Linked DNA regions of Astyanax mexicanus. The protein of the gene in region 2 purifies or fractionates together with the protein of the main gene of each other region. This does not show direct contact. Links are inferred from orthologs where the notes say so. Each region holds a gene or a part of one and is shown on either strand. Other genes may lie near its edges.

Region 1 (10,274 bases), on a different chromosome or scaffold from region 2:
TCTGCATCTTTTTTTTCAGGAATTTTTCATTTTCTACAAATAAATGCTCTAAATGACAATATATATTTTTATTTGGAATTTGGGAGAAATGTCTGTAGTTTATAGAATAAAACAACAATTTTACTAAAACATAAACCTATAAAATAGCAAAATCAGAGAAACTCATTCAGAAACTGAAGTGCTCTTTTCATGTTTTACAAAGCTGTATGTAATATGTAAGGGGTTAATTGGAATAATAATAAACTGTTGAGCTGTGATTGGGAAACAGCCTACACTCAATAGCCACTCACAAATGTTGGATATCGAGGCCATTTGATCCAGTGGATGGTGAAATATTCTAAGAGCTTGGCTAAAGCATGCTAATCCATTTTTCAGAAAACAGTGTTCAGAGCTCTTCTACACTAGTGTTGTTCTTTCAGGAGCTACAGGATGGGAAGTGAACGGCCTCCAACGATAACAAAGCTAATTTTAGAGCTGGAAAGTTTAAAAGCGTGAGCTGCAGTCTGTCCCGGAGGACGGCAGGGTCAGCAAGAGCTCTAAATCTCTGGCACATGCTATACCTACCCCCACTAACCCCTTAACCCTCCCCCAGAACACTCAGGAGCAGTCAACACAGTAAACAAACCAGCCTGAGCAAGCGTGAGACCACGTGAGACTGCTGCAAACAGACACACAAACACTTCACTTTACATCAGCTAGTGTACTTTACTGCAGGATATTTATCCCCAATTTACACAGCTGATAGCAAGCTGCATGACCTGGATTCAAACCAGTCATCTCATGATCATAGTGGAAGCCTGAGTAATAGCTTAAACCAAAATCAGAGTGTCTCTTGTTCATCATTCTCTTTAAGAGTAGAACCAGGTGAGCTCTGTCTTTGGTGGATTGCTATTGTAACGGTGCAGCTACCTGGACGTGTTTAACAAACTCTTCTCAGCAGAGGAAACTGAGCTGCTGGTTGACGCTGTGAAGGAGCTCCAGCAGCTCATTTACGGGAACAGCAATGTTATTTCATTTACTATTCTGTTTATTGTTGATGTAAAAGTTGGGTTTGTGCTGCTGTGTGTTCATGTGTGTGTAATAAGTGGGGGCGTACACTCGGCTCGGCACAGCGCCTGTGTTACCGAGATAGCGATGAACGTCTGACTGTTGCCATCTGTCTAGGTTGTATTCAGTCAGTGGAGCTCCTGTGTTTTCTGTTACCAATATAAACAAGCAAAACCCCAGAAACGTACCTGAACACACCTCAACAAACTGAACTCTCACCTGATAATCTTCACCAGTTCGCTCATGTTGACGTGATCAGGTACAAGAAACTTGGTCTTGTCCAAAACGGGAAGCTGCTTTTCTCCCTTATATCTCTCAATGATGACCTACAGGCAAAAACACAGTTCCAGCTGTATTTAATAAACATTATCATATTATTCAAGGTTAATTCATTAACTTTTAAATGTATTTCTAAAATTCCTAACAGTTCTTACCGGAATTTTATTAGGATGCTGCTCTCGTATCTGCTGCACCTCCTTACAGCGATCAGCTGAGAATAAAAATAAAATAGCTTAAAAATCAAGAGAAAACAATTCATCAAATGATTTACACAGAATCTCTAGACATCGAAAAAGACCTTAAAAACCAGTACAATGATGAAACTGGCACTCATCAGGACCGCCCCAGGAAAGGAAGAGTTGTACAGGATAGGTTTATCAGATAAGAGCACCTTAATGCTTCACAGAGTATTTTAGTTTGTTTAACACTGTTTTTAAGTTACAACATGATTCCTTAAGTGTTCCTTCATAGTCTGATAGATCACTTCACTATTAAATTTCTCTTATCGAATAGTACATAGTTTATTACACTATATGAACTCTTTTTCTTTTCAATATCTTAGATTTTGGAAGAAATAATGAATGAGCAGGCAACCACTTAAGAGACTATTTAAAATCATATCGTCACAATCAGCACGAGGTACAACATGGGGGGAAGGGTTACACCCGTTCACCCTGTGCTGAAGCTGTAATTTGATCTTGTGTTGATGTTTATTGCTTAACAGGCACAGCAAACCATAATAATCCTAACATTTGCACTTCCATAAATGCTTATAATTATGACAATAAACAAAAACATCCTCGTGGTACCGAATTTTATCAATTTAAATGCTGTTTTTGAGTTGGTTAGTTCAGTGTCTGGGGTCATTTTGAGTAGCTCAGTTTGTTAGTTTAACTAAAACACAGAAACAGCTCAGATAACTAACAGCAATATTTACAATTAACAGCACCTGGAAAAGCTATGTAGAATATAGTGCACTACATGGGTCACTGAAATTTGTTTTCTTCTCCATATATAGTGCACTCCATAGGTCATAAAACAGAGATTTAGGAATACAGGGCATAAAATAGACAAATTTACTCATTGTAGAGCTATAAGATGTGAATTTTGTGGGATTTTCTCTCTCTATAGTGCTCAACATAGGACATTAAATAAAGGGACTACTTCTTAATGTAAAGAAATATATATATGGCATGAAATAGAGGTGTTTACTCTGTATATAGTGCCCCACATTTGGGCATGAAATGGAGGTATTTACTCTAAATGTAAAGACATATAAATAGAGGTGTTTACTTTGTATATAGTGCCCTACATAGGGCATAAAACAGAGGTATTTACTCTTAATGTTGAGCACTATTTAGGACATACAATTTAAATATGTACTCAATATATAGCGCTCAACATAGGACATGAAATAGAGGAATTTACTCCTAATGTAAAGAAATATATAAGGCATGAGAAGTTTATTCTGTATATAGTGTTCTATATTGAGCAAGAAATAGAGAGATTAATTCATAACGTAAAGAAATATATAGGGATAAATTAGAGGTATTTATTCTGTTTAAAGAGCTCTACATTGGCCTTAAAATAGAAGTATTTACTCTAAATGTAGAGCCCTATTTAGGGTTAGGATTAATTATTAATGTAAAGAAATATACAAGGCATGAAATAGAGGGGTTTACTCTCTATATAGTGCTCTAAAAAGTAATGAAATCATTTAAATAGACTTTTTAGGATTAAGTTTAAGCACCTAACCTAACATAGGTTATATTTTTATCTAGCTAACCTACTTAGTGCACTGGGTCCCCCTTAAGAAATCAGGTATTTAGGATCAATTTAGTTCGCTAAAAGCTTAAATAATAATTTATCATGTAGTTAACTAATTAAGTTATCCTAAAACACACATATAAAGGTTAGTTCTAATATAGCTTTAACCTACAGCTCAATAAAAACAGTAAAGTGCCGTTTTGGGCAAGTTAATGCTAAGCTAATGCTAAGCTAACGCTATAGCTACGTGTTGAGGTAAAGTAAATAAGGGCCTCAGCGGATTCATCGCGTAAAATGCACGATACTGAAGACCAGATACTAAAAATAAAGACATTTATGAGACTAAATTAAGTCAGACAACACGTTTGTTCACTTTAAGTTAGCTAAAACAGCAAAACTTGGCTTATCTTGCTAGCTAGGTTAGCTAGTTTGTCAGGTTAAAAGCTAACGTTAGCTTGGCTAAGCTAAAAGGCCTCTAGCCACCAGGTTTTAATAACTTTAATAACTTCTATTTTTATGCTACAGTGGACAATATAACTCTATAATACGCACATTTTCGTCTCCTCTGTGTACTGGGGATAGCTTAATGTCTTTCTAGATTTTTTAACCATACTGTTATAACGCTATCTCCCTTAGTATTGATAAATTATCGGTATGTTTGCACATACAGCTCTGTAAAAATCGCTATTTATTGGTTTATGTTTGAGTAAAATGAACATTGTTGTTTTATTCTATAAACTACAGACAACATTTCTCCCAAATTCCTAAATAAATTACATTTATTTCCCTGCAATGTGCTTTAACGTGACCCATAATAAGGAGAATTATGGCTGGCCAAAATATACATAGAGTTTTTCTTCTGCAAATACAGCTCTAAAAAAAAAAAAAAAAAACAAGAGACCACTTAAAAAATTATGAGTTTCTTTGATTTTACCAAATTAACCTCTGGAATATAATCAAGAGAAAGATGGATGATCACAAGCCATCAAACCACCAAACTGAACTGCTTGAATATTTTTTTGCACCAGGAGTAAAGCAGTATAAAGTTATCCAAAAGCAGTGTGTAAGACTGGTGGAGGAGGAGAACATGATTCCAAGATGCATGAAATTAAAACTGTGAATTAAGCTTTATGAATATGAACTAGTTTTCTTTGCATTATTTGTACTGCCATTTCCCTTTTTTTGCAATACATAATAAATGTTATAAATGACAATAATGATAATAATGTTGTCTGTAGTTTATAGAATAAAACAACAATGTTCATTTTACTCAAACATAAAGCTATAAATAGCAAAATCAGAGAAACTGATTCAGAAACTGAAGTGCTCTCTTCATTGCTTCCAGAGCTGTAACGTTATATTATATAATAGGACATGAGCTAAACTAAACCGTAGAGACTCTATTTTAGATAAAACAAGTAAGTACTAAAAGTAGATATAAACACACCGGCTGAAACTTGAGACGTTAATAGGCTAGCCATGTATATTATTTAGTAACGTTAGTTACAACATTATAACTATCATTGGCTTTATGTTTATTAACGTAACGGTTAAATCTCTCACTGTTCAGATTATCAGACTAACCAAAACAACACAGTCTGATAAACATTAAAACACATTAAACAGCTTCTACCCGCTTATATATAAACTCACCGAAGCTCCGCCGCTGTTTGAAAGGTCTATCAGAAGGCATAATTGTAGTTTAAGATGAATAAAATAACAATAATAATCTGTAGTTTTATTCCTCTCTGTTTTTATTATTGTTCTGATCCTCGTCAGCAACTCCGAGCCAGAGGCGATAAAGACATGCGCAGAACGCCACGGAGTTTTAAAGGGAACAGCGCCAAAGAGCCTGAACAGCCGAGAACTCCCACTCCAGAATGGGTTCGGATTGATGGATGGATGGATGGATAGATACGTTCACATTACCAGTTTGAAGTGACTCCAATCAAATTTTTTTCATGGCTGTGTGAACGTGCCAAATCTAGATTTATGCCAATCAGATCTGAGCTTTAAAAATTGGCTTGGAAAAGCAAGGGGGAGAGGCAGCAGATAGATTTACTTTTGCAGTTTTTTAGCTGTTTATAAACTTCTTTTTTTTTTACGTTATTAGCATGCTTTTTCAAGCCGAGACTTAACACTTATTCATTAACAAAATTTCACCCCTTTTTAAGAGAGCGGTAAGCAGAGAGGCATCAGACATTTCCCAATTGAAATCCATTCAAAAGTGTCTGTAAACTTTTGTCAGAAATGTAAACTACTCTAAAAGAAACAGTTATTTTTAGCTAGAAACGTGATAATCTGTATACTTGTTGTACTGTAAGCTTCAGTGTTAGTTCTAGCCGAAAACTCCTGTGCTAGTCACTCGTATCTTAATCAATCACCAGCTTCTGCCTTCCTGGTAGAACTTGCACTTTTCCAAGCAAGCTTGTAAAAGTCTGTTCACATACTTTCTCTCCTAGTTCTAATTTGAGTATTTAGCCGTTTAGCTCCTTTTACCCTCATTCATTAAAGACTCCCTCACGTGCTTCCTCTAGCGTTTTTTTAGTAGATGCTTTCTGCTATAAAGGAGATGACCGGAAGTAGCCAGTCTCTGCATGAACCAGCTGTGGCAGCACAGTCCTGCTTTTTTTTTTCAGGAGGATACAAAATAAAAGCAGCCGTGTCAAAAATATGAAACTGCCCAATAAAATATATATATATATAAAAATACAAATAAACGTAAATGTAAAATAAAAATCTAATAAAACTACATTTGTATACAATATTGTATTTTTACAATATGCAATAGTGTATATGTGTTAAATACCAACACCATCACAGATTTTTTTAAATCTGGTAAAAGTCCTGTTAAATGTTCTGGTACATGTAAGTTCTGTGTTATTCCCACATAAACATAGCACATAAAGTTATAAATTTCATGTTTTGGTAGATTATTTATTTGTTGCTTCCTGGTAATACATCTTACACTGTTGGAAGTCAGTTAATTACTCTTTTAAATGGACCCTGTGCAATCCATCTTAATGAGTTTCAGTTACATTGGCCACAATTGTCCTTCTTCCTTCAGCCGCAAGACACAATTCATACAGGCTTTACTGCATTTTACATCCTATTAAACTAATGGGTAATGCACGTTAGCCGTGTTAATCCACTTTACTTGTAAATTAACGATAACTCCAGCATGAACAAGTAACGGATTAGAAAACACAATTTGTTTATCCAAAATTTTAGAAACGCTAGTAAATAATCAGCTCAAGATTTTTTTTTGTGAACAATATTTTTTATTTTTAACTTTCATCGTCAAATTATACATCATTCATCTCATTTTTTATACTATATACAAAGCCAGGGACTGCCAGGGAAAGCACACATCAAAACTAATAGGTTATACGTCAGTACATATTAGTATATAGATATACATTACACTGAACTCCATATGAAGAGGGGGGACAGGAAAAACCTATATATACATATATACATATTTAAAAAAAAAAGAAAATAATAATAGTAATAGTAATAATAATGATGATAATCCAGAAAATAACCTACAAAGGCCACACATCAACTGCTTCCATTACCCATCACAGACCTATACATTTCTACAGTCCGTCTCCAGAGCTTACATTAAATCAGTATTACATACAGTAGTCCAATGTAGGGGTGGGCGGTATGGCTCTAAAATAATATCACGATATTTCAGGGTATTTTTGGGATAACGATATAATTGGCGATATAGGAAAACAAAAAAATAATTAATTAATTTCAGGAATATAGTATAAGAGTATAACAGTATAATCATAATGTGGCAAAATAAATAATATAGCATAAAATAATATAATGCAGCAAATAATATTGCAGAATATTTAGTGCATGCATATAAACTGCAAACTAAAACAATTATACAATAAATACACCTAAAGCTTCACAGTGAATAATAGACTACTTTTAAGACAGAACAGCCCTATTATCACAATATGGATTTTTAATATCATGATATTATGATATTAGCCTCTAATTTTTCTTGACTTGGCTTTATTAATCCTTGCTGTTGAGCGCTCCAATAAGATAATGTGTTTATATTCTGCAAGCCAGATCCTGTTAAGAGAGGTAGTTGACTCAAACCAAACTCTAAGGATGTTTTTTTAGCAGCTGTTAAGGTCGTATACAAAATTTAGATTTACAGTAAGATCCAGAGAGTAGCCATCATTTAACAGACATAAACCAGGTTGGTTTACAATCATTTTGTCACTTAAAATTGACACCACTTCTAAAACAAAGTCCCAGAATTTTGAAACTGGCTCACATTCAAAGAACATATGCATAAAGGTACCAATGACATTCGCCTCACACTTCTGACAGTTTTTTGATTGTGGCAAAAACTTTATCAATAAACAGGTCTTTAATTGAGAGTATACATTTTTGTACCAGGAGTGAAACACTGAATCTGAAAGTGAAGGTATAAACAATACAGTGAAATTTGCCCAAACTTGCAGGAGTCATAGCCTAGGACAGACTCTTTCAAATGGTAGTGGACCTGTTTTGGCATTATGGGAAAATCATGAGAAATTGAATTTTAAGCATGAATAAAAAACAATAATATAAAATAAACAAAACAGTAAAATTTGCCCAATTTATTTTGAAGCATGGATTGAAAAAAGTAATGTTAATATAAAACTCTCTCTCTCTCTCTCTCTCTCTCTTAAACACTGATGGGATTGTTATGGTATTCTATCAAATAGATAATGTACTGCACAGAATCTACAGTGAGGTGAGTTATTTTAATCCGTTTTCTTCTCGTTTCTGGGCTTAATGTATGTCTGAATTAATATAACCGACTGAAACGTGTCGGTCTCCTCTTCTCTGTGTTTTTTTAGCGCGCTCTCCGCCTGCGCGTCTGTTTACCGTAAAATCGCGCGAATACGCGCATCTAAATTTAAAGCGCGGATGACTTGACTGGGAATTTCCGAAGCGCGGATAGCTGGACTCCGGTGCTCCTTGCTGCCTACTCCATTAGGGCGAAGGCGGAATCTTCTGTTTGTTGTTGTTATGCGCGCGCATGTATCCTAGCAGGGAGTCCTGCCCCGTATCCTAGCAACGCTGACAGCAACTCTGATTGGTCCAGAGAACTGTTTCGCGGACAGTGAATAGAATCGCGAATAAGGGCGCGTGACGTCATCGCGCGAGGGCATGATGTCATAACCCAAAAGGTATAAATAGACCCGAGCGTGAGGTGACACCACTACGGTTCTATACACACTGAGCTTAGTGCAGATCCTTTACTGTCACAATGGGTTTTAAACGCTGGTTGAAAAAACTCGTCCCGAAGATAAAGTTCCGCAGGAAGAAGAAGGAAGAGGAATTACCGCTTATAGAGGCGGAGGAGGAGGAGAGGATGCAAATGCTGAAGACGCAGATTTTGCCGTGGATAGAGGTGCTGCAGCAGATAGAGGAGGAGAGGCAGATAGAGGAGGAGAGGCAGATAGAGGAGGAGAGGCCGTGGATAGAGGTGCAGCAGCAGATAGAGGAGGAGAGGCCGTGGATAGAGGTGCAGCAGCAGATAGAGGAGGAGAGGCAGATAGAGGAGGAGAGGCCGTGGATAGAGGTGCTGAAGCAGTTAGAGGAGGAGAGGCCGTGGATAGAGGTGCCGCAGCAGATAGAGGAGGAGAGGCAGATAGAGGAGGAGAGGCAGATAGAGGAGGAGAGGCAGATAGAGGAGGAGAGGCCGTGGATAGAGGTGCAGCAGCAGATAGAGGAGGAGAGGCCGTGGATAGAGGTGCAGCAGCAGATAGAGGAGGAGAGGCAGATAGAGGAGGAGAGGCCGTGGATAGAGGTGCTGAAGCAGTTAGAGGAGGAGAGGCCGTGGATAGAGGTGCCGCAGCAGATAGAGGAGGAGAGGCAGATAGAGGAGGAGAGGCAGATAGAGGAGGAGAGGCAGATAGAGGAGGAGAGGCAGATAGAGGAGGAGAGGCCGTGGATAGAGGTGCCGCAGCAGATAGAGGAGGAGAGGCAGATAGAGGAGGAGAGGCAGATAGAGGAGGAGAGGCAGATAGAGGAGGAGAGGCAGATAGAGGAGGAGAGGCAGATAGAGGAGGAGAGGCCGTGGATAGAGGTGCCGCAGCAGATAGAGGAGGAGAGGCCGTGGATAGAGGTGCCGCAGCAGATACAGGAGGAGAGGCAGATAGAGGAGGAGAAGCAGATAGAGGAGGAGAGGCAGATAGAGGAGGAGAGGCAGTGGATAGAGGAGTACGTTGCTCCTGGCCCTGTACCGTTAATATACCCATGGATGCTCATAGCGAAGGATCAGCAGGAGCTAGAGAAGGAGAGGCAGCTAGATAAGGAGAGGCAGCTAGAGGAGGAGAGGCAGATAGAGGAGGAGAGGCAGATAGAGGAGGAGAGGCCGTGGATAGAGGTGCCGCAGCAGATAGAGGAGGAGAGGCCGTGGATAGAGGTGCCGCAGCAGATACAGGAGGAGAGGCAGATAGAGGAGGAGAAGCAGTGGATAGAGGAGTACGTTGCTCCTGGCCCTGTACCGTTAATATACCCATGGATGCTCATAGCGAAGGATCTGCAGGAGCTAGAGAAGGAGAGGCAGCTAGATAAGGAGAGGCAGCTAGAGGAGGAGAGGCAGCTAGAGAAGGAGAGGCCATGGATAGAGGTGCCGCAGCAGATAGAGGAGGAGAGGCAAGAAGAAAAGGAGAGGCGGCAGATAGAGGAGGAAAGGAGGCAGATAGAGGAGGAGAGGCGGCAGATAGAGGAGGAAAGGAGGCAGATAGAGGAGGAGAGGCGGCAGATAGAGGAGGAAAGGAGGCAGATAGAGGAGGAAAGGCGGCAGATAGAGTATAAAATTCCTCCACCTACAGCGCCCTTTCTCCCTGTACCCTTCCTCCCTGTACCCTTTCTCCCTGTACCCTTCCTCCCTGTACCCTTCTTCTAGCCGTGGCCTCTAATAGAGGTGGAGAGGCAGCAGATGGAGGAGTATAAGAGTCATCAATCTACAGCGCCCCCTGGTGCATCAGAAGGAGGGGTCATAAAGCAGGGAATGAAGTCTCTGGCCAACAGGTTGAGCTCATTCATAGCTTCATGTTTTGGTATTTAAACTCCTCTCCAAACTCATCTGATCCATCTGTATCTACATGTTGAGCTCGTTCATAGCTCCATGTGTTAATAAACTCCTCTCCAAC
Region 2 (10,450 bases):
TTATGGTAACTGACCCTGCCTGTCCCTTACTTCTCCTGTAAGCCTAGCTACTTTTTTAATAAACTGTGTGTTTGGTATCTGTGATAGTCTGTCGTGTGTCTGATCAATGTGACAACCGTGGTTCTTATGGTACCAAAAGTGGTTGTTCTATTGTATGTTTTTTTTGTACACTTTTGCACTAAACCATGCACTACTATTACTGATACTGATTATCACAGCTGTTCATCATTGATGAAATACAGAATGGGCAGCCTAGAGCAGATTAGCTAAATTGCGTTAAGGTGCGTTTTAGCCCAGATTGCATTTTGTATCACATCCCATGTAAGCTACAGAATGCTAGCATATGCATGTAGGGTTTCCTACATTAAATGTGATTTCTGCCAGAGTGTGTGTGCTGTCCACTATGGGGATTATACGCTATTAACCCTTTAGTAAATATGCTTTTTGGCATTATGCTGATAACTGTTCACTATGGCTTTACATAAAACTTTATAAATCCATGTGATTCAATAACATTTAGGTGTCCAATTTAATAAAGGGGCATTAAATGGTCTTTGGTGTTGATGAAGTGGGAGGCTGTATTGGATCCACACCTCTTGACCTGGAAAGCATCATATCCCTCAGGAGCTGTACCATCATCAGGAGAGCCAGACACAGGCAGAGAAGACAGACCACCCTACAGGGACTCAGGGACACAAACCTGGATATGAGAGAAAAATAAAGATATAAATATGATGTCATACCTTTTTTTATCAATAAAGGGTTTCTTTCTGGACTTCTAAGCCATTCTACAGTGCAGTCAATCAGAGCAAAGCTCTCCTACATACAGCCCTGAAAAATTAAGAGACCACTTAAGTTTCTGAATCAGTTTTTTTGGATTTTGCTATTTATAGGTATATGTTTGAGTAAAATAAACAAAAAAGATGCAGAGCTTTCAGACCTAAATAATGCAATGAAAACCAGTTCATATTCATAAAGGTTTAAGAGTTCAGAAATCAATATCTGGTGGAATAACCCTGGTTTTAATCACAGTTTCATGCATCTTGGCATATTCTCCTCCACCAGTCTTACACAATGCAAGCAGTTCAGCTTGGTTTGATGGCTTGTGATCATCCATCTTCCTCTTGATTATATTACAGAGGTTTTTAATTTGGTAAAATCAAAGAAACTCATTTTTAATTGGTCTCTTATTTTTTCCCCAGATATCTATATCTGTCCTAAACGCACAAACTGTTTAGTTTCAAAGGATAGAGAGAAATTGGGAAATATTCATGTAAATATGTAAACCCCTCAACATTTTAGAATTGGACTTCCATAAAGCGTATGGTGAGCCTTTTATTTTTTTACCTTATCCTCTTCCCTTTCTTGCAGTTACAACCTATACTTATTGAGAAAGCCTTTCCACTTGCAGTAAGTATTTGACTGCATTAAGTGATGACTGATGTTATGAGATCAGTTACTGATGGTCTGGTGGTCTGGATCTAATCTAAACTGTAATTACATTCCAAAAGTCATGGAACAGGAATACGTATTATGTCCAATGGAAGATAAAGGATGATGCACTGGTCGGTGGAATATGCTTGTGGAGCCTTCTGCACTGAACATGGATGTGATTTCTGCCAGAGTGGCTTGTCTTTTTAAATGGGCAATTATAGTCAGATGCCACCATGATCATGATCATTACCACACACTGAGTATAGATGTTCAGTGTCCACTGTGGGTGGTAATGCCTTGTATCTGGCACCCATTATTAGGCCTAGCTCGAACTCCAATAATTGGATGCATGGATGGGTTAAAATGCAGAGGTTAAAACTTTCCCACTGTGAGACTTATAAGGAATTAATTATTTATTCTTCTTCTTATTATTATTATATGAGTGTTTCCAAGCCATGCCCTAAGGTTACATTTCAAATTCAATTTCACACACACTGCTATCCCATGACTTTTATCTTTTGACGTCCCAGTGTATAAATGGTTCAAATGTTAGAGTAGTTTAAACTGGTTAGAGATCCAGACTTGAGTTAAAGTACCACACAGTGGAAGTATTTAACATTTTTGGTACTGCTGTATTGTATGAAGAAGTGTATTATAAAATGTACTTCTCAAGTACTAAAAGTAAAAGTACTGTGTGTTAAGTATTGTGTGTGCTGCGCAAAAGAAAGAAGGTGAGCAGCAGGGTTTCCCTATAAGATCAGCTTGATTGCTTGATTCACTCAATGATGAAGAATTTTGTCTCTGAGTGGTCTAAAGCACTGCCAATATGATCGGGGCATCGCCGGTTGGAATCCTGGTCATGCAGCTAGCCATCAGCTGCCGAAGCCCTGAGAGAGCACAGTGCTGTCTGCCTTGCTGTCTCTGGGTGGATAAACAGCGCTCTTTCCCCTTATAAGTCGTAGGGTGATGTTGATCAGCACAAGGCATCTGTGAGCTGATGTATCGGAAATGAGATGCTGCTCTTTCCTCAGAGCGTGCTGTGATGCTATTTGGCAATGCTGCATCAGCAGCAGCTCAAAAAGAGGCGATAGCTGACTTCACATATGTCAGAGGAGGCATGTGCTGGTCTTCACACTCCTTGTGTTATGACATCACCTGTGATGGGGGATGTAGAGCTGAGTAGCAGCTGAGTAACAGATGAGCAACAGCTGAATGGGTTGGACAATTGGCCTAGCTACATCGAGAGTAAATAAGGAAAGAAAATAAATAAACAAAAAAAAGTATGAAGAGCTTCATCAAACCTGGTGACAGTGCAAAGCATCTACTACTCTGGTAGTGATAATGTGGGTTTGGAATGATTTGTACCAGTTTTACAATTATAACAAGTAAGGATGCAGCACATAAACAATTTATCAGAGTAAAAATATTTAAATCAACGATAAGGAGAAAAAAATACTACTCCAGTAGATATAGATACAGCATTTTAGTACTTAATTACAGTAATGAAGTACTTCAACTTCGTTTCTATACATCTCTGGTATTTTCCATTAAACTTAACATGGAAAAGCAGATTCCTATGTGTACTGTAAACCTAAACGTAGTGGGAAGCACAGCGCTGCCTCTTTCCACAATGCCCTGTTCAACTTCAAGCTGTCGTATACCTATAAACCTCTTGAAGGTTGCTGGTAGGAGAAGCAGGATATGCGTCATGTGCACCTGGCTGCTCCCGCCTAGCAGTGTTGGCTCCCGGCAGGAGGTGTGGGTGCATAATCTCCAGCATTTTAAATCCAGGACACAGCTTACTTACAAGAAGGAATAACATGGGCAGGGTATTTATATAATTCCAATGGGGGAACACTTAGTTTCTTAACCTACATCCAGTGTTTTGCAAAGTCGTGCCTACTTGGAAAACAAAAGCGAGAGAGGGAAAAACATGCATGTATCATACAGTATATAGTATATACTAGATTGTATGGATGTACAGGTAGAGATAGCAAACAGAGGGTAGCTTTATCACAGCTCTGCTAGCTTGCTAAAACAGCGGGCTATAAATGTCCTATCTAATCTCATCAGGTGGTGTTCGAGCCTTAAGTAACAGCAGGTGTGATGAAAAGCAAACATGACCTAGGGAAAGTAATGAAGTGCAGGCAGACAGGCCTGCTCCTTAAACACCTTAAACATCAACACACACAAATACAAAAACACACACACACAGGCCTGCATGACCTGGGAGGTATTTCACCAAGCAGGATTTCTGGCCTGGCCAGATCATTTCACTCAAATGTCAAGAATTTTTAAATGGGAGGAGAAGTGAATGATGATTATATGATGCAGATTTGTGTTTGTTTTGAGTTATTTATCCTAAGCTACTGGGAAAACCTGCTTTAAGCTTAAATACACTGAAATAACTCTGACTAACACACAAACTACACAAACTAGTTAATTATCTATCTTAGTTAATTAACCTAGAACACTACTCCAGTGTGTGGAGAGTCTCTGCAGGCTGTGGTCCATGTCTACACTCTATTAAACCAAGATTAAAAGTGAAATGAAAACGCTGCGTCATGTCTCTCACCAGAACAGCGCGTTGGTGGCCGCGAACAGCGCGCTGGTCCTGAAGGGTCTCCCCCAGTCCACCAGCTCCTGCACGCGGCATCCTCCAGCCCGCTGCCCGCTCCCTGCAGCCGCCAGCGCTGCGCCCGGGCTCCCGCTCTCCTGCACCGGCTGCGCCGCTCCTGCCATGGCGAAAGCTCCGCGCTCCGCCTCGCCCTCTCCACAGCGCCGGCCGGTGGTGGCTCTGCTGCTGCTGCTGCCGCTGCTGCTGGAGGAGGAGGAGGAGGAGGAGGAGGAGGAGGCGCTGCTGCTGCTGCTGCTGCTCCGCTGGTGATGTTGGTGTTGTTGTTGTTGTGAACGGCGACGTCATCCCGAGACAACCCGCCGAGGGTCCATGGGAACGCTCACGTCATTATTATAATAAGACTTCAAAGAAAGATTTAAAAATGCTGGATTTATTAATAATAGAACACGTGACATATAAATCTAAATAATAAATATGTGTATTGCATGTTTATCATTTCTGATCATTATTCTGGTAATTAAATTAAAGTGAGAAAAAAGTGAGAAATATCATTAGTGTTAATGATAATAATAGCAACAATAAAATCATAGTACATGTTATAGTGTGTTAAGCTATAATATCAATACCATTGCATTCATGTGTTTATATTATTATATTATTTTGAACTTACTAATAGTACTAATGCTAATGCTACTAATCCTACTGCTGGAACTACTTCTACAAATTCTACAATTATTTTTTCACTACTACTACTTCTATGACTACTAATATTAATACTACTACTACTATCACTACTGCTACCATCTACTAGTATAAACACTACTACTTATATTAATACCACTGCTACCAATACAACTATTAATATTACTACTATTAATATTCCTACTCTTACTACTACTACTATTAATACTACTACTATCACTACTACTACTACTACTACTACTATTAAAACTACTACTATTAATATTACTACTCTTACTACTACTACTATTAGTACTACTACTATCATTACTACTACTACTACTACTACTATTAAAACTACTACTATAAATAATATTACTTCTATTAATACCACTGCTACCAATAAAACTATTAATATTACTACTATTAATATTAATACTCTTACTACTACTACTAGTACTACTACTATCACTACTACTACTACTACTACTATTAAAACTACTACTATTAATATTACTACTCTTACTACTACTACTATTAGTACTACTACTATCATTACTACTACTACTACTACTACTACTACTACTATTAAAACTACAACTATAAATAATACTACTTCTGTTAATACCACTGCTCCCAATACAACTATTAATATTACTACTATTAATATTACTACTCTTACTATTACTACTATTAGTACTACTACTATCACTACTATTACTACTACTATTAAAACGACTACTATTAATATTACTACTCTTACTACTGCTACTATTAGTACTACTACTATCATTACTACTACTACTACTACTATTAAAACTACTACTTTTAATATTACTACTCTTACTACTACTACTATTAGTACTACTACTATCATTACTACTACTACTACTACTACTACTACTACTACTATTAAAACTACTACTATAAATAATACTACTTCTATTAATACCACTGCTACCAATACAACTATTAATATTACTACTATTAATATTACTACTCTTACTACTACTACTATTAGTACTACTACTGTCATTACTACTACTACTACTCTTACTACTATTAAAACTACTTCTATAAATAATACTACTTCTATTAATACCACTGCTACCAATACTATTAATATTACTACTATTAATATTACTACTCTTACTACTACTACTACTAGTACAACTACTATCACTACTACTACTACTACTACTATTAAAACTACTACTATAAATACTACTATTTATTTTAATACCACTGCTACCAATACAACTATTAATATTATTACTCTTACTACTACTACTACTATTAGTACTTCTACTATTAAAACTACTGCTATCACTACTACTACTACTACTAGTAATATAACTACTACCACCACTACTACTATTACAACTAATGCTACCACTATCACTACAACTACTACAAATGCTACTACAACTTTTACTTTTCCTATTAATACTTCTAATAGTACCACTACTATTATTGATAATTCTACTACTACTACTACTACCACTATTATTATTAATACTACTTACTAATTACTAATATTAATACTACTACTGTCACTACTACTACTGCCACCTCTATTTATATTAGTATTACTGCTGCTGCTACTTTTATTGGTATTGCCACTGTTAATACTACTATTGTTGTTGCTAGTACTACCACTAGAACTACTACCACTAGTAGTATGTCTGCAACTAGTTCTACCACCACTACTATCAATACTGCTGCTACTGCTGCTGCTATAATAATAATAATAATAATAATAATAATAATAATAATAATAATAATACTTTACTTTAATTTAGATATATATTTCTCTTTTTTTTTAATAGTTGTTCTGTGCTTTAGTGGAGTGAGAAATGTGGATGTTGCTAATCTGACAGCTGTAACCCTGTCCACAGCTGATTGACATTACAAAGCATTAGCCCCACATACTCTCATCATAGACCAGAATGCCATGTCACTGTTGGGCCTTCTAACTTCTTTGAACTGTTCTATTTCTGGTCTGAGTGAATATACAACATATTCTGGAGGGGGTTTCATTACATACATAGAATTATAGATATACATACAGCACATCTAATATTAGGTGAAATGCAAGTTCTTCTAAAAGGCTTTTTCACTTTTTTCACATGGATGTGGTTGGTGTGTTGGTAGATATCCAGCACAGCAGCAATGCTGGTTTGAAGAGAGTGATCCACTATCCAAAAATATCCATCCACAAGAAGCACTGTGGACAGAAACTGACCAGCAAAACATGTCAATCGAAGAAACCAACAACATAAACAGTCAGAAGAAGGCTTGACAGCTGCCAAATGAACATTAAAAATGGATGTAAGCTAGCTAAGTTAGATCTCTGAGCAGAACCCATCTGGTAACAATAGCACTTGTCAGTCAGTTTTGCCAGAAGACTCCAGAGGCAAGAATGCAACATAACGGGCAAAAATCTTTACAGTTTGATCAGAAACAATATCTGAATCAAAAATCTTTGGCATAGACCCTGTCATCGGCCCAGGTCTTGAAGCATCTAGACCTTGCAGATCTTGCTGTCTGTAGAAAGTAGGGAAGTAGCCAGTTGTAAAAGAGTGGATTAGGGAGAATGAGACGTAATTTTACAAATGGATTAATCACTAAAAGTCCAGACCTGAACCACATTGAGAATCTTTGGGATGTGTCTGGTAAGACTTCATCAGTAGAAGATCTTGGCGCAGAACTAATGCAACTATGAACAGAAATAAACTGTGAGCTTGTAAAAATGATGCCACCGTGAATGCATGCTGTACTCAGCTAAAGCTAAAGGTGGTCCAACCAAATATTAGAGTGTGTGACCCTTTTTTGACCAGGCAGTGTATATTCTATTACTTCTATGAACCCAACATTAGGTATGGTTTTAGGCATTACTGGCCCAGTTGTTTGTCAGTCGGAGGTGATTATATCAGTCAGTTAAATCTGTCTTAATTCCTCTAGAAATGCTGGTCATTCCACACTGAAATTCATTCCACTCACCTCTGGCGTACATCCCCGTAAAGGTTCTGATCATTGATGGAATCACTATTCTGTCTGGGAGTCGCTTCTCTGTTCACATGGACAGTTCTACCCAGACACAATCATTACCACCCACTGCACTGTCCACAGTGGGTGGTAATGCCTTTTATGACAAATTACTGGTTCAACCACATGTGACACTGTGGATCCAGAAATGTTAAATGTAGGCACAACTTCAAAAATGGAATTTTCCATCCATCTAGCAACTAGACAACTAGAAAACACCCTCTAACTTATATAGGTGTGGTCATAAGCAAGCCATCCCATGAGGTAATACTTCATGATCAATTTACACACTGTATCTTTTATTTAGAGCGTGTATACAATTAGTATTGTAATGCGTGGCCCTAAAATCCCTGCTTATGTCTTTAGGGATGAAACACAGGTACAGCAAACCAATTTCTGTAGGTTTTGTTTCAATGGTGTCAAGATTTATGGTGCATTTGAAATCATTTCCTGCCTGCAACTAGGACTGTGAACTATCACACATGGTAGATTATGAATAATAGCCTCACAAATCAGAGCAGAAGACAGAAGCAGAGAGCATAGCCCATTTTCTCCTGTGCAGCCAGTGAATGCTGATGAACTGGCTGAGTATTAAGAGCAGTTTTCAGTGAAGTTTACAGATCCACCTTTTTTATTCAAAATAAAAATAAAATTACCTACAACTGTGTTTTTTAATGCTTAATCTAAGTCTTTTAAAATAAAAAAAATTATTACAACACATAAGATACAGTAGAAAGACCCCTTATCAGTGTTAACAGTGCACCACAGAAAAGAGGAATGGAGGCACTAATTGGACTGAATTTGACTGGCAACAAAAGGTCTGGCTAGAAAATTCCAGCCCTGGTTTTACAGGGCCTGCTTTGTTGCTGTCGCGTTTGTTCTCTAGTGCTGTGTTAACAGTTATCTTTTCTCTGGCAGCCTCTCCCCACCCTTCCACAGAGTGCAGGAAAGAGTGTCCAGTGCGAATGGGTCCAGCGCCGCTCAGACGCTGCTCCAGTTTGCCCAAGCCTGCATGGCACTCTCTCTGGAACCTGTCTGTGGTGTAGCAAGAGTCTCTCAACCATGTCTGTTACTACAACAAGCCCTTGCCACAACACTGAGAGGAGAGAGGCATGATGGGTCAGCTTCCAGAGGAGGTTTTGGAAGGCTTTGGAGCCGAGGAACTGGAGTGCAAGATCTGCTACTGCCCTTACACTCTGTCTGGACGACGGCCTAAAGTGCTTGAGTGCTGCCATCGCTTGTGTGCCAAATGTTTGACCAAGATCCTTGATCTGGGAGACTCACCCCCGAATGGGGTGGTCTGTCCTTTCTGTCGCTATGTTACTGGACTCCCTGGAGAGGCTGTGGCAAGTCTGCCGGACGATTGCAACCTTGTGACGGCATTAACCATCCGTACCCGCTTTTATTCCAGCCTTCGGGAGAACCACCAGGGCGAGATCTTGTTGAGCCCCAGATGCTTGAACACTCTAGTGGGCCACTCGGCATCAGCCTCACCTTCGTCCATACGCTCCAACTATGTGGTCATCACCATCATGGAGCCTCCACAGGAGCCGGTGGTGGGTACCAACGGGGCTGGAAGGAATCATCACTCATCCAGTCTGGACTCCATGGCCTCGGTTACCCGGCGCTGGACAGTGTGGAACTGCGCAGCCCTGCTTTGTCAGACCTCAGCCCGAGCCCTGCTGTGGCTCCTTGGGCTTCTCTACTTCAGCTCCCTACCACTAGGCGTTTACCTGCTCATCATGCAGAAGACCACGCCGGGCGTGCTGCTGGTCAGCCTGGTGCCCGTCAGTCTGCTCGTGATCATGGGGTACGGGCTTTGCCAGTGCATGTGCCATGAGTTCTGGAACTGTGTCCTGCCATGACTACCAATGGGAGGTGGACTATTTGCCCAAACTTGTTATCTAAACTGGTGACCTCACCACAGGAATTCTGGATGCATCAGTGGTGCGACAGGTTTGTGGAAATCTATGGACTCAATTTTGGTATTTTCTGTTTTATTTAAGGAAAGAGAAGTGTGTTAATTAATGACTGAGATTAAAAGTTAAGTTTGTCATGTTTTTTTAGCATTAAATTCCAAATCGCAATTGTGATTATGCCTTGGATGGGATGAACTAATGGACCCTTGATGTAACATGGCTAATGGTGTATCGGGTTAATGCCTTGATTCATCAAAAACCTGAGAATCTGAGAACTGGTCAGAATGCTCATGACACATGATCAGCATTGGAAAGACCAATATCACAATAACTATAAAACATTAAATATCATTTATCCTAAGCTGCTAAAGAGCATAATTACAACAGAGCTCCCAACAATTAAGGTGTTCTCTTGCTAATATTTTGTATAGGAAAAGTTTCCCAGAAAGGGATTAAGCTGATCTTGGACTTTGTCAGGAAACTTTTTGAAAATATTTTTACTTAGTTTTGTAATCCACCAAATATATTCAATTACAAGAGTGTCTGTGTATTGTTTTTTTCCTGTGTTTCTTTTATTTCCCAGACAATTAATTAATGACAATGTAAATAATATAGATATGTGCACTGGAAAAATCTGTGTGAGTCATTGTTTCAATGAGGGAGAGATGTTGTATGTTGGCCACATATGAGTATGCTAATAAAGTATTTAGCCTACCTTAGCAGGCCTTTAACCTGAAACCTATTGGCATCAATTTGTAAAATGAATGATTCTTTAAATAAAATAAAAATA

What was found. The genes of interacting proteins can lie anywhere in the genome.
Region 1: the proteins of retreg1 (region 2) and map1lc3a purify together in Homo sapiens (affinity purification with western blotting; 3 studies listed by BioGRID and IntAct, with this or other methods). This does not show direct contact. The link is inferred for Astyanax mexicanus from reciprocal best matches to the Homo sapiens genes RETREG1 and MAP1LC3A.

The regions. Positions count from the first base shown.
Region 1 is NC_064431.1:33,917,898-33,928,171, forward strand, and holds the start of map1lc3a (microtubule-associated proteins 1A/1B light chain 3A), read right to left. Parts: upstream 4,914-10,274; 5' UTR 4,787-4,913; coding exon 4,747-4,786; intron 1,538-4,746; coding exon 1,482-1,537; intron 1,374-1,481; coding exon 1,267-1,373; intron 1-1,266. Other genes in the region: trichohyalin-like, read left to right, coding at 8,381-8,599, 8,639-8,827, 8,867-8,962, 9,203-9,502, 9,599-10,027. UniProt on the Homo sapiens protein: Ubiquitin-like modifier involved in formation of autophagosomal vacuoles (autophagosomes). While LC3s are involved in elongation of the phagophore membrane, the GABARAP/GATE-16 subfamily is essential for a later stage in autophagosome maturation.
Region 2 is NC_064415.1:42,223,114-42,233,563, forward strand, and holds the start of retreg1 (reticulophagy regulator 1), read right to left. Parts: upstream 4,347-10,450; 5' UTR 4,177-4,346; coding exon 4,010-4,176; intron 701-4,009; coding exon 594-700; intron 1-593. Other genes in the region: E3 ubiquitin-protein ligase RNF182, read left to right, coding at 8,854-9,606. UniProt on the Homo sapiens protein: Endoplasmic reticulum (ER)-anchored autophagy regulator which mediates ER delivery into lysosomes through sequestration into autophagosomes.